Yarrowia lipolytica: one gene and its partners. The protein of the gene in region 3 purifies or fractionates together with the protein of the main gene of each other region. This does not show direct contact. Links are inferred from orthologs where the notes say so. Each region holds a gene or a part of one and is shown on either strand. Other genes may lie near its edges. The genes, in order: YALI1_C25829g, YALI1_B05690g, YALI1_E18802g and YALI1_C17680g.

Region 1 (8,576 bases), on a different chromosome or scaffold from region 3:
CGCCGTCCGAGTCGTATTCCACGGTTCCAGAGCCCTCAGGTTCCTCCGAACCCTCTTGCATCGACACTTGACTTTCGTCAATGATGATATCCTGGTCCTCCTCCTTGTTGACTGAGTTGAACATGGTGAAGCAACAATAGGGCAAAGAGCGATCGCTAAATCGGTCGGGTTGGATCTAGACCGCTACTATCTCGTGTGTTTTTCCGTTTTTCCGCTTTCAAACTCCTTTTTCCGTGATCCACAGCTCGAGGTGTTGTGGTGATGTGCCAACCGATAACCGAGAAGAATATAGGCGGGGTAATAACCGAGGAGCCGAGTTGCGTAGAAAGACGATGATGGGTCTCGCGTGGGGCTCGCGTGGGCTGGTTGGATGTAGCTCAGAAGACTCGCACACACGACTGGTGCTCGTAGTGGGGTGTGAGGTGGCGGATTTTGTCAATTTCCAAAGACGTGTCTGGTTGATACTTTTTAATGTCCATACAATGGGGGCGGAGAAGAGGCTACATTTTAAGGTTTGAAAAGAAAGGCAAAACAGAAGGAACAGAAGGGGGGGAAAAAACTGGCCCTGTTGGCAGAAAATTAGAATATAAAATCGAAATGTGGAAATTTGGAAAATATAAAATATAAAATTGGAACATTAGAAAAGAGAAAATTAGAACATAGAAAAATAAGAAAATATGGGTCCCCTTCTGGATCGTTTTGGCAGACACTGAAACTGGACGAAACCTCGTATCGTATTGTACAGTAAGCTCCACATTTATTTGACGTTGGAGCTACATTCTATAGGTACAAGCACAATATAATTCAGCCATAAGCAGCTACTTTGGACAAGTATGTACAGTACTGTGCCCACCCATCCCCGTCTCTCTCCAAACCACAGTTTAACTCTCGCTGTGAGTTACTGTTAGCTATCACCGGTCTGGGGAAGCCTACATAAATGCCGTAGGGTCTCGTAAAAGAGGCGGTGGGGAATGCAGGACTGTATATAAAAGGGAGTGCAAAAAAAAAAGGATAAAAAAAAGCAGCATAGATAATTCGACGTGGGTCTGCAAGTCACATGATAAACCTGGGGCAATCTTCCCTTTGAAAATCGTCACACTCTCGTTTGATTGTTGTTTTCCGCCCCTCCTCCCTCCAACATCCAGTCCCACTTTCCTCCAGACTAATCTGTTGGGTCTCAACTAACATGTGCAGTAGTGCCGTCTGTGTGGGGCTTCTTACAGCTGAGGTGTGCACTGTAAATGTACAGTGCTGGGTGATCCAGAGTACAGTACTGGTACAATAACAGTAGAAATGACTGCTTTGAAAGCAATGGGAGACACCTTTGTGACACCGTGCCACTTGGACGTAATCACCACCCATTCAGCTAAGTTCTCACTCTCACAGTGATCATCTCCTTGTGTGTCCAACGTCCCTCTCTTGTCGCCATCTTTTAGCTTTCGAGCTGAGACAGGTGATGAGGGTGTTCACTCAACACGAGTAAGACAAGCGACTTGCTGCTGTGAAATTAGTGCTCCACGACGCTTAGATGCATGGCAGTTACCAGTAGCCGAGGTAGATGGAGCACACTTCATAGTGGTGGTGTTGGGGTGTTTCTGGGGCAATTGTCAATTGTACTGTATGTGCGGTACCCGTACAGTAGAAACACTCAATGAGCCCCTGCTCACTTGACTGCAAGTACATACATCGGTAGTACGAGTACAAATAGAGTCAAAGTACAGTAACTAAGTATGGGTGTACTGTACTTGTACAGCCCTGACAGAATGTGCACTCCGATGTACTCCTCCTGTTCAGTTCATCCCAGTGCCAGTGCCGGGAATTCAACCTCTTCTGGGACGGTTAGGCCATGTGACACAGCAGTACATACAACCACTGCTTCCAGGTATAACACTCACGATATCATTAATAAATCATTCATTCATTCATTCTATATTACGCTGTGTTATTTCCCTATGCCTACATAATGTCCTGGTAATAATCGCTCATACACTTGCCCACAATGGCGGGCAAGACCGCATTGGTGCCTCGAATGGTGATGCTAAACTGATTGCCCTGCAGCTTTTGAAGACACCCCAGCAGTCCAAAGTTGCCACTGACAGATGTGTAGAGTACTCCTGCGCCGTAGATGGCGTCCCGAGTGCTCTGCTGAGCATCAATGGACCATCCAAAGCCCTTCATGACCTTGAGGTTATGAGCAGGGTTGGCAGACTTGGAGATATCCTGGGGCTTGAAGATACGCCGACTTTCCTTGTCTGCCAGCTGGTTCCATCGGTTCTGGAAGTCACCTGTGGACACCTGGCTGGCGGTCATGAACTTGGAAATGACAATAGGCAGCTTGAGATGCAGCACCTTGAGGGTTCCAGCCATGTACGTAATCTTGATGGTGGGCGACGAGGTGAAGGGTTTGTGGCAGTTGAGGATAATAACCTGCTGGGTCTGCTTGTTGGGCTCGATGGACGAGTCCGGGAAGTTCTTGGTGGACACCGTCAGGTTGTCAGGCTCCTTGTTTGTGATTTCACACGACAGAGATGAGATCTTGGTGCCCGAGTTGTTGACAAAGTACAGAATTACACAACCCAGGTTCTTTCTGTATTCGGACTTGAGACCCACCTGCATGACAGGGTCCTTGAAGAAGGTGCCTTCGTCCTTGATGCACAGATCGTAGAAGCCCAGATCCCAGTTGGGCGACAGGCCGGAGTGGGAAACGCCTCTTGAAGGAGGGGGAGGGGGGGTGGTCTTGTTTCCGGTAGTCACGTTATTTTCGTCACCAAAGGGAGACGCAGAATCCGATCTGTTGGACGAAGAAATCTGGCTGTTCTTTCGCATGATGCTCTTGGACCGAATGGCGTCAACCTCGGACTTTCCAGACTTGCCCAGACCCCAGGAACGCTGGTCCTGAGAGGTAAGTTCTCGAGCATGCAATCTAGAAAGCAAAGCAGACGTTCGGCCTTCGAATGGAGGCATCTCATCGCAGATAGTCTTCAGAAGCTCCGGTTTCTGGATGATTGACACGTACTCAATGGCTCGTTGTTGAATCTCAGAGTCCGCACTGGAAGTGTACGCCGTGAGAACTCGTGAGATATGCGGTTTGATGTCTGGGAACATGTTAGCCAGCTTGATGTAGGTAGACAGCAACATAGCCTTGGTGGGCGCAGACACCTGTCTGAAATGCGAATGCAGGTTGTAGAAGAGCTGGATGGGCTGGACTTCTGTTAGCAGGTCTCCATACTCGCCCAAGACGTATGCTCCGGTCTTGACCATGCATTCCTGACACTGGGGCTGCGCGAGATAAGTGTTGAGAGTCTGACTGGCGTACTGCTGGAGAGACTCGTTGTTGACGACAATCTGAACGACTCGCTGCCAAACTTCTTCGGACACGTGTGCCCCGGCAACAGCAATCAGCTTGAGCGAAATGTCCACATACCACTTGTATTCAGTTGCATATTTTTCAACCAGAACGGCAATCTTGATGACCATTTCTTCTCTGATGGCGAAGTCAGCAGTAACAAGGTATCTAAGCAGCTCGGCGACGATAGTCTTGACGTTGGACGAGTCACAGACACAGTAGAGCACATCCAGAGACTTTCGTCGGATAGAAATGTCCTTGTCCTTGAGGTTTCCAAGCACCGTAATGAGAAACTTTTTGACAGGAAGTGCACTGTTTTCCGACATTTGCGACGAGACCTCGTATCGAGCAGCCAGACGGGCCAGGGCTGTGAGGGCCAGGTATCTTAAGTTTGTCTCCTTTGACGAAATAAAATCGCCTAGGATAGACAGCAGCTTTGCATCGGGAGCCATGTCCATATGAATACACAGGTTGATAGCCTCAAACAAGACGGCATGCTGGGCGTTACTTTGTTGCGAGCTCTGGGCGGGTTGGGAGCACTTATCCACAGTTTCGAGCACAGTCTGGCGCAGCATGTCGGTGGTAGTCTCGTTTGCAGCATCCGGAGGAGGGTAATATTGCAGGAGCTTGAGCATCTTCACTAGCAACCACGGCGACTGGACTCCGTAATAAATATAGTCTCTGGGCGCCTGGTTGTTGACACACAGGTCGTAGAGTCGTCTGACTACTCGGATATGGGAAGTTGCACAGGCCTCTGGGTCGTGTTGAACCAAAGCAATAGCCAGAGAACAGACTGAGGTAGCCACTCCAAGGTCCGGATCGTCAATCAGAGCAATGATTCGGTCGTACCATTGGGGCTCCACAATATTGGGGTTCTTTCGGAACAGTCGTAGCAGCGCCAAAGAAGCCTTCTTCCTCACAAAGGTCGAACTGGTAGGCGAAATCAGCAGTTTGTACACGTCGTGGTTTAGCTCGCTGCCCATCATCTCGCTACCCACCGTAGCCACCAGATGAAGCGCCAGACAGTTGTGCATCTCGTCCATACCATCCAGGTCTTTCTGCACAGAGTTGATCACCATATGCACCAGTTCGTGATCCTCATTGATGAGCACCGACAGCGCAATGTATCCCATTTGTTTCTCGCTCAATTTCGTCGAGTTGATGAGCTTGACACACTCCAGGTGGCCAAAGTCCACCTTGTAGCCCAAAATGTAAATGTACAGCAGCTTGCCCACGTACTTTTTCTTTTGGTAGCCGCTGAGATTGGGGTCCGTGAACTTTTGTCGGATGTTGGCCAGCTCCTGGTTCACTCGTTTCTCTTCCATTTCCCGAGCCCGTGCATTTCTCAGATCCGCAATGAATTGTGTCAATCCTGGGTTAATATGGCGAATGACTGACATCCAGGTCTTGATATATTGTTCTCAATATCTTCCTACCCTCTCAGCGTCTACGGACGCCTACTCACCCTTCATATCCTTCTCTTTGGGCCGAATCAGCTCGCCGAGCTTCTGCTGGCTCTCCTTGGGCCGGATTTTTCGCCCAATGTTTTTCAGGTTTTTGATTTCCTCCATGGTGGTTGAACAGGCCGTGGTGAGATAATTTCAGCTCTCTCTATTTACACGACACGCAGCTCGGCAACGTTAACCTAAGCGCGAATTTCCATCACGTGCCTTACGCAGGGGTGAAAATAAGGGGGCCCGTTACTGCGGGAAGTAGCGGGCGGATTTTGCTCGCAAGAGTCGGAATCAATTCATTGAGCTATGGAGATTACTTCTATCCGCTCCAATTCCGTCAAAAGTGTCCCCAACACCCCGTTTAACATATCCCCCGCCCTCCTTGCTCTATCCTAAACTTGCTTCGGATGGGCCCGTCTGATAAAGTTGAAGGTTGGTCAAAGCCAGCCATGTGTCTTTTGAGAACCAGATTTGACACCTGTCTGGTGTTTCGACGCGTTTCTGGCGACTGCCAGTTGGTTAGAATTCGCTCCAAAGTTTTCCAGCTCCCAATTCTTGCGTCGACGCTGTTTCACTCCGTCTTGTAGCGGCCCAGATGGAGATAACCGCCTCACATAAGTAACTCTGACATGCATGAGCAAGGTGGAAAAATGTGCACCAATATATTTGGAGCATTCCAGCCGCGACTTGTCGCACTTGCACTCGTAGTCGTACCAAGCTCGGCAGCTTGACTCACGTGACACATGTTTCTCCACTCACGGTCGGTCCACAACCCCTCCATTCTCGTACTCGCTCATTCTATACATGAGCCAGGCGGAGCTAACGCAGCCGGAATAAAGACGCAGCGTTAACACGCCCGTAGCACATGTCAGAGGCGCAATTTGAGACATGAACTGAGCGTATGAACGCAACAACTTGACTATATACAGTAGTTTACAGATACTCAAGGCACGTATAACGATAATATTCATCCCGAAAGATAAGATATGTGTTGGATAGCCGTCATAATACAACGGTATCAGTCGATCGACACATGTTAGGGAAAAAAAGCCGATGCTGGACTGCCTTTATCATTGAAGCAAGGAAGTACATTTGTTTCTTAACGGTGATCGCTAGAACGTTAAAAGGGAACAAATACCAATTATTAAGGCAATAGAAGAGTAATTTGGCACCATTTGGACATCTATATCTGCTCAAAATCTCATTTCAACCTCTTTTTTTTCCCACCGTTTTCCCATATTACTAATCATACAACGTAGACCAGACCCAAAAAAACACCGTTTTTAAAGTTGTTGATGTGGTGGCTCAATGGTAGAGCTTTCGACTCCAGTCAACTTGGTTGTAATCGAAGGGTTGCAGGTTCAATTCCTGTCCATGTCATGTTAATGACAGTGGAGGAACATTAGCCGGTTTGATTCCGGTGGCTTCTCAAAGCTGATCAACAACTTTTTGTCCTCTCGGATTGCGACGGTATGGTTTTTTTTGCGTGTTTTTTTTGAATATTGTACAAGTACATAAGCGTAGTTGTGTACTCACAGGTTTTTTTGTTCCTATTAAAAATTCATATATACAATCCAATCTCTATATACACCAATCGACTATGTCTCTGTCCTCAAACAGCTCATTCCATGACTAAGCAAAAATGCTGTCGACAATGGGCTGGATCTTGTCGGGAGTAACTGCCTCGTACTGATCCACCTCCATTGTGAAGCTACCCCGACCCTGGGTCATGGATCGCAGAGTCTTTAGGTAGCCAACCATCTCTCGGAGAGGAACCCGAGCATGCACCACCGACTGTTGGGTTCGAGTCTGATCCTGATGCTTAGAAAGGTACATGGTGTAATCAGCAGGAACGTAGGTGTTGGTCGCCATTGCAACGTACTCCTCCGAGTGGATATCTCCTTCGTTCAACTGAGAGGGGTCCATAATGCTCACAATTTGTCCGTTTCGTGATCCACTAAGATCCTTGACCACTAGACCGATGTCAGCCTCGTTGACAGACACGTAGACGTTCATGATAGGCTCCATGAGAGTGGCGTTGGCAGTAGACAGAGCCTCCATGATAGCCAGACGGGTTGCTGTCTTGAGAGAAGCTGTATTGTTAATATGCTGCGCGATATGCCAGGCTTCGATTACAACTCGTACACTTCGAAGAGGGAGTCTGCAAACAGGGCCGCAGGACACAAGAGGGGGAATAGATCCCACTCGGAAACACTCTTCCATGATTTCGGGGGTAAGTTCCTTTGTATCTCGTTCAAACGAGATGCGCTGGTTTCCTTCTCCAACGGACTCAAGGTCGGCATCAGACAGCTCGTAAGGGAAAGAAACTGTGTTTTGTTCATGATCAATCACATTCTCGTTTTCACAAGCTTCATCCATCTCAGTGATGGGCTCCAATCGAAGTCGAACAGTGCTGACAGCTCCAGGTTCGGGCTCGACGGTCTTGGTGATACTTTTGGTAGGTTCATTAAGAGTCTCTTTGTAAGAAATGATGATAGGACCGATGACGATGTTGGCCTTGAAGTCCTCAATCAGTCGGTTCTGAGCAATCTCAAGATGAAGTTCTCCCATACCAGAGAGTGTGGTCTGGTTGGTCTCATCATCAAACGAAACGTTGAGAGAGGGATCTTCGCGAAGAAGCAGTTCAAGAGCCTCATTCATGGGTCGAGTGTCGCCAATGGACGCAGGGTCAATTCGAACAAAGAACACCGGAGGAGGGACAGCGATGGGCTTGAGCTGAATCAAACGGTTATCCGGGGGAAGTTTCATTACACCGTCCTTCTTGATACTGTGGCAGACAATGGTATCACCAGTAGCGAGTCCCTGGGAACCCAAAATGACTCCAATGTTACCCTCAGTGATAGACGTGACCTCTGAGGTGGTATCAGCATGAACCTTGAGCAGACGAGAAACACGGTCCTTGGTTCCAGATGTAGTGTTGTATAGGACACTGTTCTGCTTCAACTCGCCCTTGTATACTCTCACGTAGACAAGTGTGCCCTTTTGGGGATCCTGGACAACCTTGAAACACAGAGCACAGCACAGGTTCTTCATCGAATCGTCGAGAGTGATGGCCCGTTCCGGAATGACCTTGGACTTCTTACCTCCAGTGTACGACTTGGCAATTAAAGCGTCAGTAGGAGGACGTTCTGCCGGAGAAGGGAGGAAGTCGACAACTGCATCCATGAGGGGCTGGACGCCAATGTTTCGAAAAGATGCACCGCACAGAACTGGAACAATGTCGTTGTTGATGGTGGCGGTTCTCAGGGCCCGTTTAATGTCTTCAGTAGTGATTTGCATGTAATCTTCAGATTCCAGAAACTTTTCAACCAGCTCTTCATCGAGTTCAGTGAGCGTTTCAACCAGTGCAGTACGGGCCTTTTGATACTCTTCCTGCACCTCGGCGGACGCTTCGGAAACAGGAACAACCACAGTCTGTTTTCCGTCTCCTCCAGTAGTCCATGTGATGACACATCCGTTCAAAATGTCAACAACGCCCTCAAACACCTGATCTGACGACTTGGAAAACACGGGAACGGTCAGAAGCGCGACACGTGTTCTCAACTTGCTCACAATCTCCTTGACAGTACGTCCAAAGCCAGCTCCAGCTCGATCCATCTTGTTGACAAATGCAATTTTGGGAATGCCCATCTCCGAGGCCTGTTTCCACACCTTTTCGGTTTGTGCCTCAACTCCAGCCACTCCGTCGAGAATACAAACAGCTCCGTCCAGCACACGAATTGATCGGATCACCTCAAAGGTGAAATCAGCGTGCC
Region 2 (5,959 bases), on a different chromosome or scaffold from region 3:
GAGAGACCGAAATCGGACAGCTTGATGTGGCCCGTCTTGTCGATCAGAATGTTGTCGGGCTTAATGTCTCTGTGGATGAAGCCTAGCTTGTGGATCGCTTCGATGGCCAGCACGCACTCGGCAATGTAGAAACGGGTAATGTCTTCGCTGAAAACGTCGTACTTGATGAGCATGGTCATGAGATCGCCACCGGGAAGGAACTCCATGATCAGGTAGAGGTACAGGTCGTCCTGAAACGAAAAGTACAGCGAGACGATCCAGGGGGAGTCTGAGTCCGCCAGCACGTCTCGCTCGGCCTTGACGTGCGCCCATTGCTCCTTCATGTCCATTTCCTTCTTTAGCATGGTCTTCATGGCGTAGATTTTGCCATTGTCTCGCTTCTGAACCAGCCGCACTTCTCCGAACGCTCCCTTTCCAATCACCTTGACGGTGACAAAGTCTTCCAGCGCCATTCTTGTTCGTCGCATACGCAGATACGCCGTTTCTTTCTTGCCGTAGTTTGTGAGCACCCGGTTGCGTCGTTCTTCCGACGTGGCCTGCTCGACGGAGGCCTCGGCGGCGGATCTTCGCTGGTGGCGCTCGATAGCATGCTGCACAATGCCCTTGTAGTAGGTGCTGATGACCTGGGTGGTGTTGTGGGCTCGGTCTCGGGCCGTCTTGGACAGCAGATCCGGCCGGGGTGTGAAGTTGACGTAGTCACTAGGCTGCTGTTGAGCCACAGACTGTTGCTGTGGTTGTTGTTGCTGCTGTTGATGCTGTTGATGCTGTTGCTGTTGCTGTTGTTGTTGCTGTTGCTGTTGCTGTTGCTGTTGCTGTTGCTGTTGCTGTTGCTGTTGATGCTGTTGCTGCTGCTGTTGGTACTGGCTGTGCTGTTGCTGCTGGTACTGCTGCTGGCTGTTGTACTGTTGCTGGTTGAACTGCTGCTGCTGATCCAGAGACGTGTTGGACTGGTTGGAGTTCTGCTGATACAGCCCCGACGGAGGCGGCATGAGGTTGTGAGGCTGCTGCGACCCGTACATGGGCTGGCCCTGGCCAGGAACCCACTTGTCTGTCATCTTGCTTGCTTGTGTGGAGAGCGGTGTGGGTGTAGTTGTAGCTAGTGTGGTGTCTGTCTGGGTCCAACTATCCGAGTGTCTCTCTGTGTGTCTGTGTGTGTGTAAAAGGGGCTGGGTTAGGTGACGTGGAATTATGCAGGAGAAAAGGTTAACGTGTGTGAATGTAGAGGAACACCAGACGGGTGGAGAGGGGAGCTGAAGGGTGCGAATATATAGACGGTGACGGGTTTTGTGTCACACGCCACACGCAGGACTGTCTCTTTTTCTTTTTCTTTTTGCCCCCGAATTCGGACCACAACAACACGTATTATTGCAACATTAAAAGTCAGTTCGTGACAGACAGATGAGGCACACCAAAAATAATGTGAAATAGTTAATCGCAAAAGGGCGGTCTGATTGGAGGTGGATTTGGGTCGGGAACGCGACAAAAATAGTGATTTTTGTACACATGGGTGTCTCTTCCTGGTTGTATATTTTTTCTTCAATTTTCCCCAACCTTTTTCTCCACTTTTATCCGATTTTACACTGATTATTCCCCCCACCATACGTGAGCCTATTTGTGGGTAATTAATATTATTTTCGCTCTGTTTTAAAGAAAAAAAGCAACTTGAGGCCAAAAATACGGCTACAACTATCAGTTCAAAAATAGTACAAAATACAAAAATATTAAACCGGAAAAATCAACGCCCCCATTGGTCGATAACTATCCCTATCTGTGATCTCAACGACTTTCATTGTCAATATTTGCATCGGTTGATTTTGCAACCTGCCCCGGGTGTTTTTTAAATATTATTTTCCTATTTTGAATCTTTTTTTACTGTTTTTCTTTTTCCTTTTTCTTTTTTTAGTATTTTTCTTTTTTTTTCTGTTTTTCTTTTTACGTGACTTTTTTACGTAGCCTAATAGTGTTGATCTACGCGTACAGCAGAACGACATGCTCGGGATGAACATGAGACACAGACATGGTGGAGAAGATCTGAAACATCTAGGAAGATCAGAAAAGTGTGTGTATTACTATGGATTTATTTCCCATCCTCTAGGAGCAATATTCGCCAAGCTAGAGTGATTTACATCTCTGGTGACTACTCAAAGCGCGTAAAACCGCCCCGAGCGAAGAGAAAAATCACACAATAAGTCAACCAGACGTTCTGAATCGGAAGATGTAGATAATTTGATGTGACCAGATGGTTGGTAGTGTCACCGCTGTCCTCCTACGTTGCATGTTCGTTCTCCTTGATAATCACGGAGTAGACAAGACCTGGTAAGAGATATCTCAACTATTCTTATACCATTGTCATCGGACAGACCAGGGCTTTCCAATGGTACCATAGTTTCGCTCAAACATCCTCTCTTCGCGTCGTTCTGCTCGTAACCTCATGCGCTCTCCCCTGCTCCTACAATAGAACCCTCCCTCCCCCTCAACATGTCAATATCATAAATCATATTGTCCTGGCTCTTGTTCGACGCCTCCATAGCCCATGTCCTTCCCTATAAATACTAACTGGCCTTGTCAATCTCCTCGAGTCGAGCCAGAACGACCTTTTTGCTGGTTTCTTCGAGCTCGCCGGCCAGAAACACCTCGTCGAGGATCGCATACACCTTGTAGAAGTTGAAGACAAGATCCAGCTCGCAAACGTTGCCGAAAAACGTGTCCAGCACCTCCACAAACAGATGGATGGCCTCCAGGTAGAAGAGCTCATTGTCGGATTCGTCGACCACAATGCAAAAGAAAAGTCCCGCGTACCGGCGGTAGATGACCTTGTAGTTGCCCAGCTCCACAAAATTGCTCTGGTATCGCTGATCTCGGGCGGCCACCAGCCGATGCACCTCTCCCATCAATTTGATTTTTTCCGTGTCCTGGGTTAGTCCATGCGGACAAACGATATATGGCTGTGTTCGTCTGGATCTTGCCGTTCGAATGGTGGTGCTTCCATCTTGATCGCAGCACTCCTCGCCGAGTTGGTCAAGATGAAGAAACCTGGGAGCCCCATCATGTACTCACCGAATACGCATTGTACCACTTGGCAAGTCGCGTTTTGCCCTGTCGGTTCTGTACCAAAATGTACTGTAACACCATTATGACGGCTTTGTGTCGCGAAATGTCGTGTCACCGCTGGTCGAAAGAAATGTATGGCTTTCGTGACTTGCAGAGTGGTACAGCGGCGTCTGCATGAGGTAATTACAGGGGTGCTTAGTCAGCGGAGGGGTGGGACAGGCGTGTGAATGAGGCGGGTCGATGAGGTCACGTGACGGTGTCTCGGGAGGGTAAATTGGGTGGTGATTGTGTGTTTTGGTTGGTTATGGCATGTTTTGGTGTTAGTTGGTCGACTCTTGTAGCACTTGATATGGGTGTATATGATGGATTGGGGAAGCTGCTTGAAGTGGAATGCATTGACGAGGAAGAAGAATGCTGGAGCCCCAAACTGTCGAATCAGGAACCGATTCGGAGATTCAAAAGTCAACTATCAACCTTCTTCGGTCCTTCGACCTCTCCATCTTCAGCTATTGTGGTCTTTTTGGGTGCTACACTCAGTATATAAGCACTTGCATATCTAGAGTCAATAAGATGGGGGAATTCAGAAGGAGACAGGAAAGAGCTGTGGGGTGATTTTTTTTAATAGAGACTGATGGCTGTTATTGCAATTTGGGTCAATTTCGCCTTTTAGGGATCCGATGCGACGTTCCTAGGGCTGGATATGGACGATTTTGCCTATCAGAAAAGAGCAAATAAAACAAAATGAAATGAAATAAAATAAAATAAAATAAAATGAAATAAAATAACATAAAATAACATAAACCAAAAACTTCCCCCAAAACTTCCCCCAAAAAACCCCCAAAATGAAAAAACCGCATGGCTGCGGACAAAAAAGATACCACCACAGACGAAGGAAAACATACACGGCCAAAACGCCACCACGTTTATATTAGAATATGTTCGCTGCGAATTCAATGGCGTGGCTATTTTTCCAACCAGTGTGACTGGAGCCCGAGTTGGAGACCCGTTTCGTAGGGTTCAGGTCGTTCACACGCCCAACAGCTGAAGATACGGATACCTGGCGTTGTTTTAAGTGAAAAGCGACGATATTTCCATGGACTGGAGTTGTCCAAAGCGACAGCTTCATTTTGTATATCTACAAGTAGTCGATTTGGCCATTGTACTGTTCTCAAAGTGCGCTCAACAACCGCGGCTAGTGTCTGTCGGCAAAGTTGCACCCCTTAAAACGCTGGGAATTAATTGTGTTAAATCCAACTTTGTTTGGGGTTGGCTCGGGGATTTTCTGCGTTGTAATTGCCAGAAAATGGCGATAATTCCAGAGAATGGGAATGGGGGTTTTGGACAACGACAGCTGCGACAATCGTGTTGGAAGTGTCGAAAAACGTGCTGGAATCACTGAGAATATTAACTGTTAATTTTAGAGCCCCATGGAACCACAAGACGGGCACCACTGAGTCGATGGAGGGACGGAGAAAGAAATGAAAGAAAAAAAAAGAAAAAAAAAAAGAAAGAAAAAAGAATAAAAAAAAAGAAAGAAAAAAGAAAAAAAAAGAAAGAAAAAAGAAAGAAAAGAAAAGAACTAACCTTCCCGTAATAACTGTAGCCTTCCATTAACAGATGAACTCGCCTTAATTTCAAACCAGCGACAAGAACGACACACCTCATTCGAGCCGGTAGAACAACAGACGAGGCCGTTGGAGAATTTGTTGCTCCGGAGGAGCTGGCCAGGAACTGCTGAGGGGACTGGACGCCCGAGCCACCGACCAATGGTCAAGAACTGGATCCACAGTGGTGGAAGCCTGCCGCGTCCTACGTGTCCTACTTCTCTTCCCACAAGGACCGCCTCACTCTCGTCCGCGTACAGTAGAGCATCAACGAGTGGAGCTGACAGACTATATCTGAGCGTAAGCAACTGGTTCTTCCTGATCAGATTTTGGTTCTCCCCCCACTTGTGGTCATGCTGGTGCCCAACTGCGGAATGAGAGGAGCCCTAGAACTGCTTGAACGAACCCAGCTCCTAGAACCACTCTTCAGCACCTGAGGATAGATTCGACAGTCGCCGCCAACTCCGGACTAAGACAAATCATCTAATTCTCAGTCTGGAGTACATTTGTTGAGCCCACAGACAGGTCTTCTGTTCGAAGCCATGTGAGAGCGCTTGGCGAGACTGTGGACATCTGTCGACATTTAACCAACTGGAGAGAATACCTCTGGACCTGAATCCCAAAAACAGGATGTATGCCGACAGGGAATGTTCCAGCGCAGCTGGAGACAAGCTGTACTACTGGAGAACTCCGTCAACCAGGAATACCCATGTAGTACAAGCCAGTTGAAATGGAAACGGTTGAAGAACAGAATGACGTAGTGATAGACCAAAGGAGTTCCGTAAACGCCTTGACAAAGACACCAAGCTGTGCTGGAGAGTAAAAGCTGTTTTGGACAATAAAACAAACTGTCTACTCCATCGCATCTTGGCATAACGGTCTATGCTGGGAGCTCCAGCTGATATCCTGTCCACGCTCTACATTCAGCTATTCTTGAGCATGGCGTAGCGCTATATAGACGCTTGCAGAGTTCAGGAGCGTTCCATGCTCTTTGGTATCGATTCACTTCTCCAGCGCAGAAGCTGTTGATGGTCTGTAACTGCTACCAACCGCTACTGGGGTGAAGTGCAAGTCACAGTGGCATTTTCAGATGGTTCCAACGGGAGAAACTGAGGACTGTTTGCCAGTTACTACGGAGACTCCGTTCCGCTGACAAAAGCCACTACCAAATGCAATGAGGATGTGTTCTGGGAGAAATCACAGCTAATATCGCATCCGCAAGACTTGCTAGAGGTGGTTCCCCTCTCTTTTCGTCGGAGAGGTTCCAGAAGAGTCACCTACCGAACTTCTCCGTTAGCGATCAG
Region 3 (7,736 bases):
TCACAACACTATGGGCACCCTCAAGGCTATTGAGCTGTGCAACTTCAAGTCGTACCGTGATACGCACCGTGTGGATCTCGGTGACTCGTCGTTCTCGGCCATCATCGGCCCCAACGGTTCGGGTAAGTCCAACATGATGGACGCCATCTCGTTTGTGCTCGGAGTGCGGTCTTCGCAGCTCCGATCCACCCAGCTCAAGGACCTCATCTACCGAGGCCGAATCATGCGTGGCGAGGAAGTCAGCTCGACCCAGTCTCAGGAAGCCACGTCGGCATACGTTCTGGTGGAGTACGAAAAGTCAAATGGAGACCTACTCAAGCTCAAGCGAACCATCACACCCTCGGGCACGTCTGAGTACCGAATCAACAACAAGGTCACGTCGTCAGGCGAATACAATGCCACCATGAAGAAGGAAAACATTCTGGTCAAGGCCCGAAATTTCCTGGTCTTCCAGGGAGATGTGGAGCAGATTGCCAGTCAGTCGCCTCAAGACTTGTCCAAGCTGATTGAAATCACCTCTGGCTCCATCGATCTCAAGCCCGAATACGACCGTCTCAAGGAGGAGCTAGATGTCCAGACTGAGCGAAGCAACGCAGCCTGGCAGCGACGACGTACCTACAACGCTGAGAAGAAGCACTACGTTGAGCTCAAGGACCGTTACGACGCGTACACCGCCAAGGCCGCAGAGCGAGACGAGGCCGTTGTGAAGCAGCAGCTGTGGAGACTGTGGCAGGCCCAAAAAATCGAAGATGAGGCCCGAGACCAGATTGAAGGTGGAGACGCTGCTATCCAGAACGCCGAGGGGGCTGTTCAGGAGGCTGCTCAGGAGGTGGAAAACGTGGCTGCCAAATATGCCAGCGACAAGAAGCGGCTGCTCAAGCAGGAGCGTTCGGCAAAGAAGCGAGCAGACGTCATTCTGGAGCACAAGCAGCAGCTCGTGCCTGTGGCTGAACGTATTGCTGTGGTGTCCGGCAACATTTCGCGTCACGAGGCTCGGTACGGCACTGTCGAGGCTGACTTACTTCGACACCAGGACGAAGTCAAGCAGACTCGAGGCTCTCTCAAGATGGTTCAGGATGCCTCCAGTGAGTTTGAACGAGATCTGTCATCGAAGCAGAAGGAGTCAGGCGGAGTTATTCGAACTGATGAGGACGCGGCCGAGTATAGCACGCTGAAAAATGAGGTGCACAAGCGGTCGCTGGCTGAGCAGGCTGAGATTGAGACGGTGAAGCGAAAACTCAGACCTGTTCTGGACCATAAGCGAGCTCTGGAGCAGGCACAGGAGGACTCGGAACTCAAGGTCAAGGAGTTTAAAAGCGAGTTTGGCGTCTACCAGACCCAACTGAAGGAAGCTGAGGAGGTACTCAAGACCCACCAGTCTGCTCTGAGAACTCAGAGTGAGTCTCTGGCTCGGGTTGTGGACGAACAGACTACCCGACGACGTGTCGAGCTGGAGCTTGGCGACAAGCTGGGTGTTGTGGCTAACCGTCTGATTGAGCTAAATGCGGTCAAGCGACAGACTGAGCGAGAACGACGACTTAAAGAGACTGTTGCCAACCTGAAGCATGTTTTCTCGGCACAGAAGGTCCACGGTCTCGTCTACGACCTGTGCAAGCCCAAGGAGAAGCGACACGATCTTGCTGTGGAGACCATTCTCGGTAAGGACATTGATTCCATTGTTGTGGACAGTTTCAAAACTGCACAGGACTGTATTGCATACCTCAAGGAGCAGCAGGGCGGTCTTGCCTCGTTCATTCCCCTCGATACTATCAAGGCCATGCCTGTCAACTCGTCGTTGCGGTCGCGTCTTCGTGGGGCTGTACTTGCCATTGATGCCATTTCCTTTTCGTCTCAGTACGAACGGGCTTTCCAGTACGTTTGTGGCTCGGCCATTGTGTGTGACGACCTTAAGGAGGCTAAACGCCTTGGATGGAGCCTGAATGTCAAGGCTGTGACCACCGATGGCTCCGTGATTCACAAGGCTGGTCTTATGACTGGTGGTACTACCCAGAAGGGCCACCATGGCGGCAAGCGAGCATCCAAATGGGACGAGTCTGAGGTTACAAAGCTCCAGGCAGAGAAGGATGCTCTGGTTTTGGAGCTACAGACTGTTGGTCGGCAAAAGTTTGACCCCGAGCGTCAGGATACACTGCAGCGTGAGGTTGACAAGGTGCGACAGGAAGTGTCTGCTGCCCAGAAGCATGTTGCCAGCCTGAAGGACCGTCTCAAGGATATCAATTCGCAGCTCAAGTACTACAGCGAGGAGGCTGCCAAGAGCAAGAAGCAGATTGCCAGCACCGCCAGTGATCTCGAAAAGCTCGAGACACAGAAGGCCACCATTCAACAACGCCTTGACGAAGTCTGGTACACCGTGTTCTCGTCTTATTGCACTCGTGTCGGCGTGACTGTTGAGGACGTGTTTGCATATGAACAGACCCATGGCTCTCTCTCCGCTGGTGCCGAGCGAAAGCGGCTCGCATTCTCTCAGCAGATTGCTACTCTCGAGTCACAGCTCAAGTTTGGCTCCAAGCGTGTGGACGAGTGCAAGGGGCGACTGGCCAAGATTCGACAGTCTATCGATGATGACAAGGCAGCTGTGGATGGCTGGGAGGCCGATGAGGCCCAGCTGAGAGAGGACATTGGTATTCTGGAAGAAAAGGCTCGAGCTGAGGCAAAGCAGGTTCAGAAGCTCACAGCTGCCGTTCAGAACGCGTCAACTGAGTCCAACGCTGCCAAGGAGCATCTTTCCCGAGCTCAGGGCGTGGTCGATAACCTGCGACGAAAGCTTGCCCAGTCTGAGACCGAGCTTGAGACTGCTGCTACTCAGCGGTACGAGGTTCTGCGAGAGTGCAAGATTGAGGGCATTGAGCTTCCTCTGGTGTCAGGTGATCTCGAGTCTGTGCCTCTGGTTGAGGGAGACGACTCGCAAATGGATATCGATATTGAGGTTGACTTCTCGTCGCTTCCCCAGGGCATTCGAAGACTTGCCGACGATTCTACTCTTGTTTCCAAGATCAAGGCTCTGCAGGCTGAACTGGAGCGAATCAACCCCAACCTGAAGGCCGTGTCTCGACTCGAGCAAGTGGAGGCCGAGGGTGCTAGCATCGAAGCTGAGTCCAAGAGAGAACGTGAGGCACTCCAGGAGCTGCAGGCCCAATTCAGAGAGGTGCGAGACGCTCGATGCGATAAGTTCAATGCTGCCTTCGAGCACATTTCCGGAGTCATTGACGCTACGTACAAGGAGCTCACTCGTTCTGATGCGTTTCCTCTGGGAGGTTCGGCTACTCTGACTGTCGAAGATGAGCATGAGCCTTACCTTGAGGGAATCAAGTACCACGCCATGCCCCCCATGAAACGATTTCGAGAAATGGAGCTTCTCTCTGGAGGAGAGAAGACTATGGCTGCTTTGGCCCTACTTTTCTCCATCCACTCTTTCCACCCGTCGCCCTTCTTTGTGCTTGATGAGATTGATGCTGCTCTGGATAATGCCAACGTGCAACGAGTCGCCAACTACATTCGGAAGCATGCTGGCAGCAAGTGTCAGTTCATTGTGATTTCTCTCAAGCGGGGTCTGTATACTCATGGAGAGTGTTTAGTTGGTATCTACCGAGATCAGGAGGTGAACTCGTCCAAGATTCTTACTATGGATTTGAGATCGTATCCCGATACTTAGGCTGATGTAGGATTGGATTGGAATGAGTTTTTATTGATGAATTATATATATATTATTGGTGTTATTCGGATACCTACAAAACTGTAGAGTGAGGTGACGTGTCATGGCATGATCTGGCATAATCTGAGCACGTCCGAATCTGCTTCATCAGTCGTTTGTAGTTTAATTCGATTTTTTGATATATTTTCCAGTATTTAGCAATAATTCAGGCCGAATTCCGGTACCCATCTCAGCATCGCCATATTAGCTTTGCATGGTCTCCCCCCTTACATAATGGGCTGCGCGATATTGCATATGCACTAACAGTCGGAACACGTAAATTGTTCTTGTACACGACAAGATGAGTGACTTGAAATTCTTCACCAAGGTGAGTATTTGGGGTGGTCGCGCTTTGCGGGCGCGTCTTGGAGGTTATGCTAACTCAGGGAAAAGCTGCGGAATTGAGAACGGAGCTGCAGGCAGCCAAAGGTCCGAAAAATGTCGGAAAGAAGAAGGCGGTGCTGAAGAAGATCGTGGCCAACATGACCATGAGCAACAATGAGATGATTGTCTTATTCGAGGACATTATCGACATGATCCGATCGTCCAACGATCTGGACGTGAAGAAGATGTGTTTCCTCTATCTCATCACATACTGCAAGGCTAAACCTGAGCTGGCCACGGGAGCGCTGGACCCTCTTCTGGACGATGCTGGATCCCGGGAGTCGCCCTTGATTCGGGCCCTGGCCCTCAAAACACTTTCCTCTATTCCTCTGGAGGACTTCATCAGGGAGGGAGTGGAGCCTACCAAGCGACTGTTGTTTGATGAGGACCCCTATGTTCGCAAGACTGCGTGTCTGGCCGTGGCTAAAATGTGGTCCCATGACACCAAGATTGTTGAGCACTCTGACTTGATCGCACTGCTCAACAAGCTGCTGAACGATGGAAACCCCACTGTGGTGGCCTCAGCACTGGCTGCCCTGATGGACATCACCGAAAAGTCTAGTGATTTGCAGCTCACACTCGATCACAACCACGCGTCCAAGATTGCTACCGTGCTTGGGGAGTGTTCCGAATGGTCGCAGATCAGCATGCTCCAGGCGCTACTATGCTGGACCCCACAGACAGCTCTGGAAGCGGAGCGTATGGTGGAGCGTGTTCTTCCGCGGTTGCAGCACTCTAATGCTGCTGTGGTTCTCGGAACTGTGCGTCTCATTGTCTACCTCGCCAATTATTCGCAGAACCTCCTGGAACACGTGCCCCAGATCCCCACCAAGCTGAGTTCCGCAATGGTCAACCTCATTTCGAGGCAGCCTGAGTTGCAGTACCTTGCGCTCCGAAACTGCATCCTTATCCTCCAATCAAAACCCCAGCTGCTCCAGGGCCTGTCTGTTAAGGCTTTCTTCTGCAAGTACAACGACCCCATCTATATCAAGACCACTAAGCTGGAGCTTATCTATTTGCTGGCCAACGACAGCAACATTGGAGTTGTGCTGCGTGAGCTGCGTGAGTACGCGACGGAAATCGACGTGCAGGTGGTTCGAAAGTCTGTACGAGCCATTGGAAAGCTGGCCCTCAAATTGGAGTCTGCTACAGCCGCAAAGGCCAGTGTCGACACACTCATGTACCTTGTGGAGACCCGGGTGTCATATATTGTGCAAGAAGCCATTGTAGCTCTCAAGAACATTCTTCGACGATACCCCGGTCGGTTCGAGGGCGTCATTGGTGAGCTGTGTGAGCACCTGGATGCTCTCGATGAGCCGGAGGCCCGTGAGGCCATGGTCTGGATTGTCGGTCAGTACGCTGACCGAATTGATGACTCGCATCTCATTCTGGAGCAACATTTCCTTTCTACGTGGCACGATGAGCCCGTCAACGTTCAGCTTGCACTTTTGACGGCCACCGTCAAACTTTTCATCCTGCGACCTACCAGAGGCCAGGCGATGGTTCCCAAGGTGCTCAAGTGGGCTACTGAGGAGACTGACAACCCCGACCTGCGAGACCGAGGATACATGTACTGGCGTCTCTTGTCGTCTGACCCCTCTGCTGCCAGAGACATTGTGCATCCCGATAAAATGCCTCTGATCCATGTTGAGGATGAAGCAATCATGGACCCTCGAGTTCTGGAAGAGTTGGAGCTTGGCATCGGTACACTCGCTTCTATCTATCTCAAGCCTGTTCGCCATGTATTCCGACTGGCCAAACCCAGAAAGCTCACTCCATCGCCGTGTCTCATTCCTCGAAAAGACAGCGATGTGGATGAACTTAAACAGCTTGCTGAGCAGGCTGAAAAGTCAAAGCAGCCTGCTCCTAGCATGCCAGACATTGCATCATTGAATCTGGGCACTCTTCAGAGCCCATCTCTGGCCCAGTACACTCCGCTGATCCCCACCCCTACCACAGGTACTCCTACTACCCCCAGCTTCCCGCAAATGCCCCAGCGATCTAACAGCGTTGCTGTGCACCATCAATCACAGCAGCTGCTGGATGACGGAAGTGGCAGCCAAGGCTACTTCGTTACACAGAACGGTATTGCTCAGGGCTCTCAAAATACCCAGAACTTGTTGTGGTAACATTTGTATGTACAAGTACAGTAATGTACAGTACAGTACCCCCATATGTAATATTTACAATAGATTTTATATTTTATTGTGTTGACTTGTCGAATGTCTATTCGATTGTGATAGTCTCTGCTATAGGCATGTTCGGCTCAGGACCCTCCTTCACCTTAGTCCAGTCAATATCCCTACCGACGAGCTTGGATAGAATGATCTGTGCCCCTGGTTTACTTAACACAAGGCCATTCTCCGTGCAAAAGGCCCCAGCAACACATGAGTGACAACCCCAGTCGCATTCACAGTCGTTAACTCCATCGACAGCGTTGTTGACGATCTCTTCCACAAACTGAAAAGCCTTCTGTGACAAGCCAGAGCCGCCCTCGCCGCCTACCTTGTCTCCAAATATCAACCGTGAAGGCCGTCTTCGAGTGGATTGCCGTTTAGCAAACTCCTTTTCAGGAGCTTTACACTCTGTGCGTACATCTCCTGGTCCACAGACAACATATCTTGGAAAGAAGTTGATGAGAGCATGTTCGGCGGCGTGAATTGCACCGGCCAGAGAGAGCTTCTTGGCCTCGATCAGTTTCATAGTGGATTGTGGAATATCAATCCAGAACCCCTTTGTGTTTATCACAAACGACGGATGGTCAACCTCCACAGCCTCCAGGATTCGATCTCGCTTGTCAAGCTTGAAGAAGCCAAAGACAGTCGTTGTGATGCGGATGTTTCCAAATGACACCTTTCCGCCCCCATTTCCATACGAAAGCTGTTTCACCTCCTCTGACTGGACTGGATCCACATCTGTGAAGTCTCGCTGTCTCGTATACCAGTCCACATTGACCCTTCGGACCTTACCCATTCGTTCTTCCACTGAGACATCAACAACAAGGTAGGGAAACCCTTGGTGCATAAAGATTCCTCCCTCGTATAACGAAAATGGCACTCTGCTCTCTTCCAGAAGCTCAATGATGTGACCCTTGTTGTGGGTGATATCCACTACAGCATAGTGGTTCTCCTCAATGCCTCTAATGGAAACATCCTTAGCAGGATTGTCAGAGAACCGTGATGATGTGTGATAGAAGGTTGTCTCGTCAGTCTTGTCTTCAATTAGTTTGTCCTTCACTGTATGCAATAAAGGACCGAAAAATTCCACATCATGTGTCAGCTCAATGGGGAACTCCGAAGCTGCACATTGAATATGACTTTCGAGGAGTAATAGGTTAGTAAGAGGCTCGATTGTAAGGGCTTCTGTAGGCTCGGTAAGCATTTTGTCAGGGTTTTTCATGTAGAATTGGTCCACGGGATCTCCAGAACCAATGACAATAGTCAAACTGTCTGATCCGTCCTTTCGTCGTCCAGCACGGCCACTCTGTTGTCGTAGATTAGACACAGTCATGGGAAATCCGGCAACGATACATACGTCCAGCTGTCCAATATCAATTCCCAGCTCCAGGGCGTTAGTAGCAACTATACCCACTAAACAACCAGCAAACATGTCCTGCTCGATTTTGCGGCGGTCTTGTGGA
Region 4 (7,629 bases), on a different chromosome or scaffold from region 3:
GACATGGGAAGATGCATAGATAACGCACAGATAATGCACGCCCAGATGCGACGTGTCTCGAAAAATCAGGTTTTTATACATCTCGCAATCTGAATCGCATTTCCTTCTTGAGCTGAGCAGTGTCGCGTAGTATACGACGGTCTCCGAGGCGGTAACAATGCAAAAAGTTCTTCATTGTGGTTAAATCAACTCCAGCATCGACCCTGTTTATGCAATGGCTCTTGGCCTTGACTGTCACTCAGGCGCGACTTCCCAAACATCTTACCACCATTTCCACGAATTTGGCGTACTTAATCTCGGATGGAGTGAAGGAGTCGTTTGTGGGAACTGTGGCAGACTGACCTGTTCCTGAGCTCCGGCAAGGCCAACCCCATTCGACAGGATCCCTCTATCAGGCAACCAGTTACGACTCATTAAACCGGTTAACTACATTACGACTTTGACATTCTGGAAGATGTTCAGTTACACATCACCTCCAACACCAACTGGAACCTTCAGACTGTTGTCTCTGAGTACTTTGCTGGCCATTGAGTGAAGACCTGAAGGAGAGGTGGAATTCTGGGCTGATCAAACACCCAGCCTGGTCTAAACAAGATCACCATGAACAATTTGCAGAACAGATAACCATTAAATCCCTTCTGAAGGCTCCATTCTTTACCCTGACTCGTCGACAGAACATCATAACTTTTACTCACCATTCCAGCACTGTCGGAGGACCGAAATAGATACTGTACAAGCTTCTGACTTATAGCCTCCACCCAGATAATGAGATCGGACCAAGACATTCTCTCTTCGTTGCTGCCATGTACTTTGTGGGAAACTTGACAGTCTGGATCCTGTCTGCTACTTAAAGCGCTTTCCAAGCTGACAAGAGAGTGCCCAGATGACCAGCATCTCGAGAAGTGCAAAGCAAGTTGAATCGTGAAAAGAGTCGACTATAGACAATTGTCTTTCAAAATCTATGTGCAATCTCTGTAAGTCACTGATGGACTAGTTCCAGGAAAAACAGGAGTCCTGGTTCCCGAGTTCAGAAAGCAGCCCTCAGTTTCGTTATTGAGCCCATACAGACATTTCAGGGACCGCTCATTCCAACTCCTCAGGGTATAGTAGGGTATCCAGTTGTCCGATTGGCTCTACGACTAGTTCAATTGAGTCTTCAGTTGTCCAGTTCGAATCGCCAGTTGTTCTCCAGTGATTCCTTTGACCCATCCATCCAGAAGTGAATCTCGTTTCACTGAGTCCAAAACCCCAGTTGCATCACCATTCACAGGATGCTCAAAACCATCCTTCAACTTTACAGTACTTGTAACTTGCTGTCTATTGTTCCTAACGGCCCGTCTAGCCAGTTCACCTGCTCTACTCGTAGATAGCCCCCGTCACCATCTCTTTAGACACCGATCGAATCACCAGCGCAGTCTCCTTCCCATATAGTTCCTGGGAATCACTGGTTGAGACATAAGCACCAAGTGTGTCTGATCAGTCCTGATTGAATCTCCCGGTTCAGTCAATCGAGCTTCTCTCAACGAATCTCCAACTGAATTCCCAATTGACCCTATCAGCAGCCAGGGCAACAATTGATCCCACTCGTTCAACTCTTTACCCATCTGAATCTGATCGGGAACCGAAGAGCCACTTCCAATGAGGTCTCAATTCCAGATGGATTCCCTTCTGTTGAGTGTCAGCTCCTGTCCCGAGTACAGCTCCCAAAAACAACACCAATTCAGGTCCCACTCTCAAAGTGAGTCCGATTGCTGAACTCATCGAAGACCCCAAGTCAAGCCCACTGCTCGATCAAGAAACTACTCCCTCCAAAGATCACTCCTTCGGGTCACCTACCCAAACCAAGTCCTCGCATCAAAGTTATAACCGATATCTGTTGCAGTTCCAAAGAAGATCTTTATTCCTCTAGCAACAGGTACTAGAGAGTCCCTAGTTGGCCCCGTCGCATCTGCCGCTAATCCCATATTGGTGGAAGCTTTGGAGGTAACAGTGGTGGCAGTGCGACTCCTGGACCCCAATCGTCAACCCCCTCAGATGTGGGAAGGGAGTTGGGGACAGTGGTAACTGGTTGCGGTATCAAAGAGCAGACAGCTCAAACAGTAGCAATAAACTGCCCGACAGTAGGTGAGGATCCAATCGAACTTCCCCCGCTGATTTGAACAGATCAGATACCAGTCAGAGGCAGTGCTTCTTCAGAAGTGCTGACTCTGGTTAGGTCTTCTCTGGTTCACCTGGTAAAGACCATCTCAATGGTGTCTACTCTCGAGTAACTGGCGAGGGATGAAGACAACACGGGGTACACTCACTCCAGATCATTGAATAACTGGAGAATTGTGGGGACGAGAATCTGTTGCAACTTCCAACCCTCACTCTGACCGAAACCCAGCGGCGAACGACTCGGCGCTCCCGAAAGCTGACTGTAGGTACCACCGGAAGACAAGGAAGTAGGGGAAGTGAAAGCAAGGATCACAATGCTGAAACTGGCCCAAAAAGTGCTGGGCATTCAGCCAGCGAAACTAGATATCAGGTGCTCTGGTTTTCTCCAAGTTTCGGTGCAAATTTTCTGAACGTTAGTGTCGTTTCTGTTGCTGACTGTCCAATGCAGCTGTTTTGTCTAGGCGCGATGGCCTACGTGAATTGTAGGTAGATGTATCGCACATCGTCGGTCGTCAACTATTCGCCAGAGTGCCAGTATTACTCCACTCCTTCACGTCAGTCAATCCATATTGTCCATTTTGTTAAATTACATCCATACTCCTCCATCAAAATCTAATCTCGTAGCTTCCACCCTTCATCAAGTATCGTACCCACTTAACGGTGTTGTAATTGCTCTTCTCAAACACCTTGAGGTACCTCACCACCAGACCGGAGCACGTGATCATGGTGATTTCAAAGTCCATCGAAATGGGCGGCTTGTTCCACGGCGTCTTCTCCGTGGTAAATGTGAGTTCGGCTGTGGCTCGGAGAGAAATCTCAGAGCCTCCACTGATACGCGACACCTTCCACACAATCTGGTTGGTCGACGAGTCGTACTTCGCCTTGCCGTTGGATGCGTTGATGGTGGTTTTTGCCGCGTTTCGAGGCGTGGGAATGTTGATGACGACGTTGGTAGCTGTCTGCTGCTTGGGGAAGTTCGCCTTGATAACGATATCGTATTCGACTCGTGACTTTCCGACAATCTGCACACTGGGGACCACCTTGAACGGGATGCTTAGGTTCTCCACGCACTTGTAATGCATGAGCTCAAATTCACCATCTGGAGGCACAAAATTGATCGACCGGTCGTGGTCAAAGTTATTCAGCTTGACACAGTGGTGGAAAACACAGTCCTGTAGACCCACAGAGCCGGTGGGGGCAGTGGAGCCACGTCTGCCACCTCGCTTGGACGATCTAGGGTCGTCCTCGTCGTGCTCCTGGTCGAGACGAAGAGTATCGTTCAGTCCAAAAGTGCATTCTGGCACTCCACTGAGTTGCGACTTCATGTGAATGGTTCCATCGACATTAGCAACAAGCACAGAGCCGGTGGGCGAAATGAGTAGGTTGACCTTCTCGACAACATCCACGAACATTTCGTTTCGGTGATGCTTGACGTTGTCTCGTCTCCAGGGAGTGGCACCTGTGATTTGCGAGGTGATGGTCTTGGACCGTTTGAGAGCCTTCATGGATTTCGATCTACTCAGGGCGTCGGGAACAGACACAGACACGGCGCTGGAGCCAGACTCGCTGCCACTTCGCTTGGCCTCCGTCTGAATATACTGCTTCAGCATATCCATCTCTGTGTTTTGGGGAAGGCCAAAGTCGATCATCTCGTCAAGCAGTTCGTAGACCAGAGTGAAGTTCTCCTTGACGCTCTGCTCGTTGAAAGAGCCAAAGTAGGATTTGCCGAGGGCGACAATCTTGTAGAGGAACTCAAACACCATGCCGGCATCCACGTTCGACCGGTTCACCGCAACGACATACATGTCCTCGGACTTGCAGTGCATGAAGGAGGTTGAACCAATGGTAAGAATCGGTGATCGTACCTGGGTTAGTAGTGAAAGGGATGGTGGCTGTAATCGCGAGTTGAAATGGGTGAGAATCGATCTTCATGCCGGAACGAAGCATGAGATACGACTGAGAGCACTCCATATAAAGGTAGGGTGGCTGAAAGAGTGGTAGCAGCTGGACATATATCTGGTTTTGCTGTAGATGTCACTCGTTGTCTCGGTGTCGCATAAGGAAGCGGAGCCAGAAGAAATCGAATCATGAGGGATCACGCTGAGTTTTTGAGCTAGTTGAACTAGTCGTGAGATGAGCAGAACTATGCCCAAGTCAGATACGTTGCTGAAACAGTATAGCTTGTGCTTCGTGAGCTTAGTAGCAGTTGTAGAATCGATATCACCGTATGGTTGCAAGGCGTAGTAAAGGGACTCAATCTCTGCCCCAATGGCGGTTTTCCTCTCAAGAAGAATGTCCTCTCTCACACACGTCCTTCATCGTCCTCTAAGAGAGCATAGACATGGCACAAAAGAGAACAGACCATCATAAAACAATCATAATGACCACACTTTCCCTGTCAACACCTATCCAGCTGTTAGCAGTCAGAGTCAACCTCTATTAATCCCTCCAGCTCAATCTCCTGAGCATTCGCGTCACCACACGGTCACTGGTCGCGTGATGGTCGCAATTTTCATCATAGCAACTCATACACGGCCATGAGCCTTCCATTGCAACATTCCCTCAGTCGCCCAGTCGCCCCCATCAATTTCGTGCTCCAATCCTCCTCCCTTCGGTACTCACCTCGGGATTACTAATGACCTGAATTCGAAAGACATCGGCAATGCTTCTCCGCAACCCGTCGCGGTAGAGACGCGAGATCAGCACCTCGCCCTTCTGGTTGTACAGTAGAATAGCCGAAATCATGGTCAGATGGCGGGCAACACGTAAGCTCGTGACAATTAGCGCATGCACGATATGCACCCCTGCGTGTCTGACTAAGCATAGTGACTAAGCTTGATGATTAAGCTTGATGATTAAGCTTGATGATTAAGCATGTAGGTTATGTGAAGGAAAATCTCTAGATTTGTTCTATTGTTTTCACGTGATTTGAAATTACAAATGAAATACAGATGTACAATACAATGCACCTAATGCATGTTCTAGTGTTGTCGACAGGCAACGGGCCATGGTATCTTGGATATCCCAGATTCATGGCCACTCACATTTCCCATATCCATCTATTCAACTTACTTAGTCCGTTAGTATAATCATGACTCACCACTCAAGAATCATATCGCCAAAGGGCTTGCTCTCATGCAGCTCTCGAACAAGTCCGTTGACGTTACTGAGATACTTGCCTAGCATGATCTGCTTGTCCTCGGTCGTCAGGCGGTACACATTGTCTCTCAACATGGTCTGTCGGTACAGAGTCTTGGATTTGTCCACGTTCTGCCTGGTCTGAGTCTCGGGGATGAGGTAGAAGAAGAGAAACTCGAGGATCTTGAGCTTCACGTCCTTGGGAGTCTCCTTTCGCTTGAACAGCGTGCAGATGGTGGCCAGGCCTCCCATGTGTTCAAACAGTCGGATGTTGGGCACTTCACGCAGCAAACAAGCGACCAGCGCTCGAATCGTCACGTCAACGGCCTGGGGGGTTCCAAGCAGCTTGATGAACAGGCCCATGTTGTTTTCGGTGGCAAAGATGCGCCGACTGGGTTGATGCAGCAAAAGAGCTCCTCGAAGGAGATCGATGGCAAAGGGGAGATGCTGGATGGTGTCTGCGCTGGTAAGCATGCGTTCAATGGTCGTCACGAGGTTAGATGCCACATTATACTCGAACGACTCCTGCAACTGCGAGTACTCCTCGAAGTTGGAGCATAGATCAATGTTGGACGTCTGTCGAGCAGCTCGAACCAGACTCTTGAAAATCGATCGGATTTGCTGCAGACCGGCGTATATCCGCTTGGGCGACGACGACGTTGTGTTTGTAATCGCCGTGGAAAGAGAGCTCTCCATGATGAAAGGTCTGTCCATGGCTGGTGGACAATCGCTGTGGGTGCTGCGTACAAGTGTGTCCAAATGGTGTGTTCAAATGGTGTGTTCAAATGGTATGACCAAATGGTATGTAGCAAGTTTGGTACCGATGGGTGATGTTTTGGGGCAGTCTAAGACAATGTTGCAGTCGTGTGCGGATCTCTGTTTTGCTATGTTTGACGTTGGTCGGGAATGTTGATGTTTCTCCCAATTAGGCAGGTTGCCTGCCGATACCACTGTTGTGCATGTTAGACGCAGGGCAGACCAGCCTCCGCGCAGTTGCCAGTTCGAAGCCGGGCAGCGTAGTGGATAAAGCGGCATGAAACATGGGGCTTTAAGGAGCCGGCGTCAAGTTGCAAGTCTCGTTGCACGTTTCGTGTAGTACTGCTGACTTGAAGAAAGTGTTTAGTCAGTGGCAGATCACATGACAAAGAAACCTTGTTTTGACAGTTCAGGAAAGATGCGCGTCGACTGACAGTGTGTTCGATTCGAGCCTTTGGAGGGTAATAAGTGCGGATTTGAGGAAGGGTTGGTTGGATCCGGCAAATCTGGTAATTGCAATGTTTTTTTTTTTTTTTTTTTTTTTTTTTTTTTTCAATATCTTCGAGTATAATTGACATCCAGACGTGTATTAAAACTACAAGTAGTTGGAGGGCGTTCAAGGGGTACCATATTTTATTTTATTTGCTGCATACTATATTGTACTGTAAATACATGAGCTCCTTTTTGTTAAAAACCAAATGAAAGTTTGTTGATATTTAGTTAACACTTACATCCTGCTTCGACAACCATCTGGTTCCGATAGTATACCAGGCTTGGTGTATCCGCCCGGGCAGTGACGTAGCCAGGGTATGACTTGATGAAGCTCTTGAGCGCGGGCCAGTCTTGGATCTTCCACAGCAGGAACACAGAGCTGAATTTGACAGGAAACTGCTCACGAGGGAAGTAAATGTACTGCTTCTTGTCATTAGCGGACAAGCGCAAGACATTGTTGAAAAATCCCATGCTGTCAGCACTGGTGAACTGTAGCTTTTCAGAATCGGAGCATTGGTTGAACGAGTGCGATCCTGAGTAAAAGACACATGGAACACGGCTGCGAACCTCGTTCGAGTAGTGGCCACGTTGCCACGAGGAGCAGCACGAGTGGCACGAGAGGTAGCCGAGGGGGTGTGAGTAGCGGTGGAGACTGGCTTCACAGCCTGGACAGCGGAAGCATCGGAAACCTCCTCATGAGACCCGACACTCCACATGAGAGCACTGTCACCCTTCGCGGGAAGTCGTGGGAACCAGGAACCTCTGGCGGCGAGAAGCTTCCGTTCAGAGCTGGGGAGATGATTAATGACCTTTGTGTAACGCTCCAACATATCTGCAATCTGTTTATCAGCGCAGACAGCGGTGATACTGAGCTCAGAACGAGTGGACTCTGGAGCCTCGATGCAGGCGAGCACATCACCCCAGTGGTTGTCATCACGCTGAGAATACCACGTGACCCCTGCATCAGGAAGGAGACAAGGGAGACGGCAACACTTGATGAAGTCATCAATTGGAGAGTTTCGGAGTGCGTAGGCGACGCTTTGCAAGTAGGACACGACAAGGAACTGTTGTCGTGGATCCTTCAAG

Evidence for each region.
Region 1: the proteins of YALI1_E18802g (region 3) and YALI1_C25829g purify together in Saccharomyces cerevisiae (affinity purification with mass spectrometry; 3 studies listed by BioGRID). This does not show direct contact. The link is inferred for Yarrowia lipolytica from reciprocal best matches to the Saccharomyces cerevisiae genes APL1 and APL3.
Region 2: the proteins of YALI1_E18802g (region 3) and YALI1_B05690g purify together in Saccharomyces cerevisiae (affinity purification with mass spectrometry; 3 studies listed by BioGRID, with this or other methods). This does not show direct contact. The link is inferred for Yarrowia lipolytica from reciprocal best matches to the Saccharomyces cerevisiae genes APL1 and APS2.
Region 4: the proteins of YALI1_E18802g (region 3) and YALI1_C17680g purify together in Saccharomyces cerevisiae (affinity purification with mass spectrometry; 4 studies listed by BioGRID, with this or other methods). This does not show direct contact. The link is inferred for Yarrowia lipolytica from reciprocal best matches to the Saccharomyces cerevisiae genes APL1 and APM4.

Annotation. Positions count from the first base shown.
Region 1 is NC_090772.1:2,579,282-2,587,857, reverse strand, and holds YALI1_C25829g (uncharacterized protein), read right to left. Parts: upstream 4,918-8,576; coding exon 4,812-4,917; intron 4,719-4,811; coding exon 1,957-4,718; downstream 1-1,956. Other genes in the region: YALI1_C25877g (uncharacterized protein), read right to left, coding at 1-124; YALI1_C25789g (uncharacterized protein), read right to left, coding at 6,433-8,576. UniProt on the Saccharomyces cerevisiae protein: Adaptins are components of the adaptor complexes which link clathrin to receptors in coated vesicles. Clathrin-associated protein complexes are believed to interact with the cytoplasmic tails of membrane proteins, leading to their selection and concentration.
Region 2 is NC_090771.1:566,246-572,204, reverse strand, and holds YALI1_B05690g (uncharacterized protein), read right to left. Parts: upstream 3,133-5,959; coding exon 3,058-3,132; intron 2,913-3,057; coding exon 2,553-2,912; downstream 1-2,552. Other genes in the region: YALI1_B05711g (uncharacterized protein), read right to left, coding at 1-1,055; YALI1_B05698g (uncharacterized protein), read left to right, coding at 2,240-2,277, 2,324-2,549. UniProt on the Saccharomyces cerevisiae protein: Component of the adaptor complexes which link clathrin to receptors in coated vesicles. Clathrin-associated protein complexes are believed to interact with the cytoplasmic tails of membrane proteins, leading to their selection and concentration.
Region 3 is NC_090774.1:1,876,628-1,884,363, reverse strand, and holds YALI1_E18802g (uncharacterized protein), read left to right. Parts: upstream 1-4,013; coding exon 4,014-4,040; intron 4,041-4,098; coding exon 4,099-6,225; downstream 6,226-7,736. Other genes in the region: YALI1_E18843g (uncharacterized protein), read left to right, coding at 11-3,673; YALI1_E18749g (uncharacterized protein), read right to left, coding at 6,323-7,736. UniProt on the Saccharomyces cerevisiae protein: Adaptins are components of the adaptor complexes which link clathrin to receptors in coated vesicles. Clathrin-associated protein complexes are believed to interact with the cytoplasmic tails of membrane proteins, leading to their selection and concentration.
Region 4 is NC_090772.1:1,764,015-1,771,643, forward strand, and holds YALI1_C17680g (uncharacterized protein), read right to left. Parts: upstream 4,903-7,629; coding exon 4,780-4,902; intron 4,023-4,779; coding exon 2,763-4,022; downstream 1-2,762. Other genes in the region: YALI1_C17640g (uncharacterized protein), read right to left, coding at 493-528; YALI1_C17700g (uncharacterized protein), read right to left, coding at 5,254-6,009; YALI1_C17719g (uncharacterized protein), read right to left, coding at 6,768-7,629. UniProt on the Saccharomyces cerevisiae protein: Component of the adaptor complexes which link clathrin to receptors in coated vesicles. Clathrin-associated protein complexes are believed to interact with the cytoplasmic tails of membrane proteins, leading to their selection and concentration.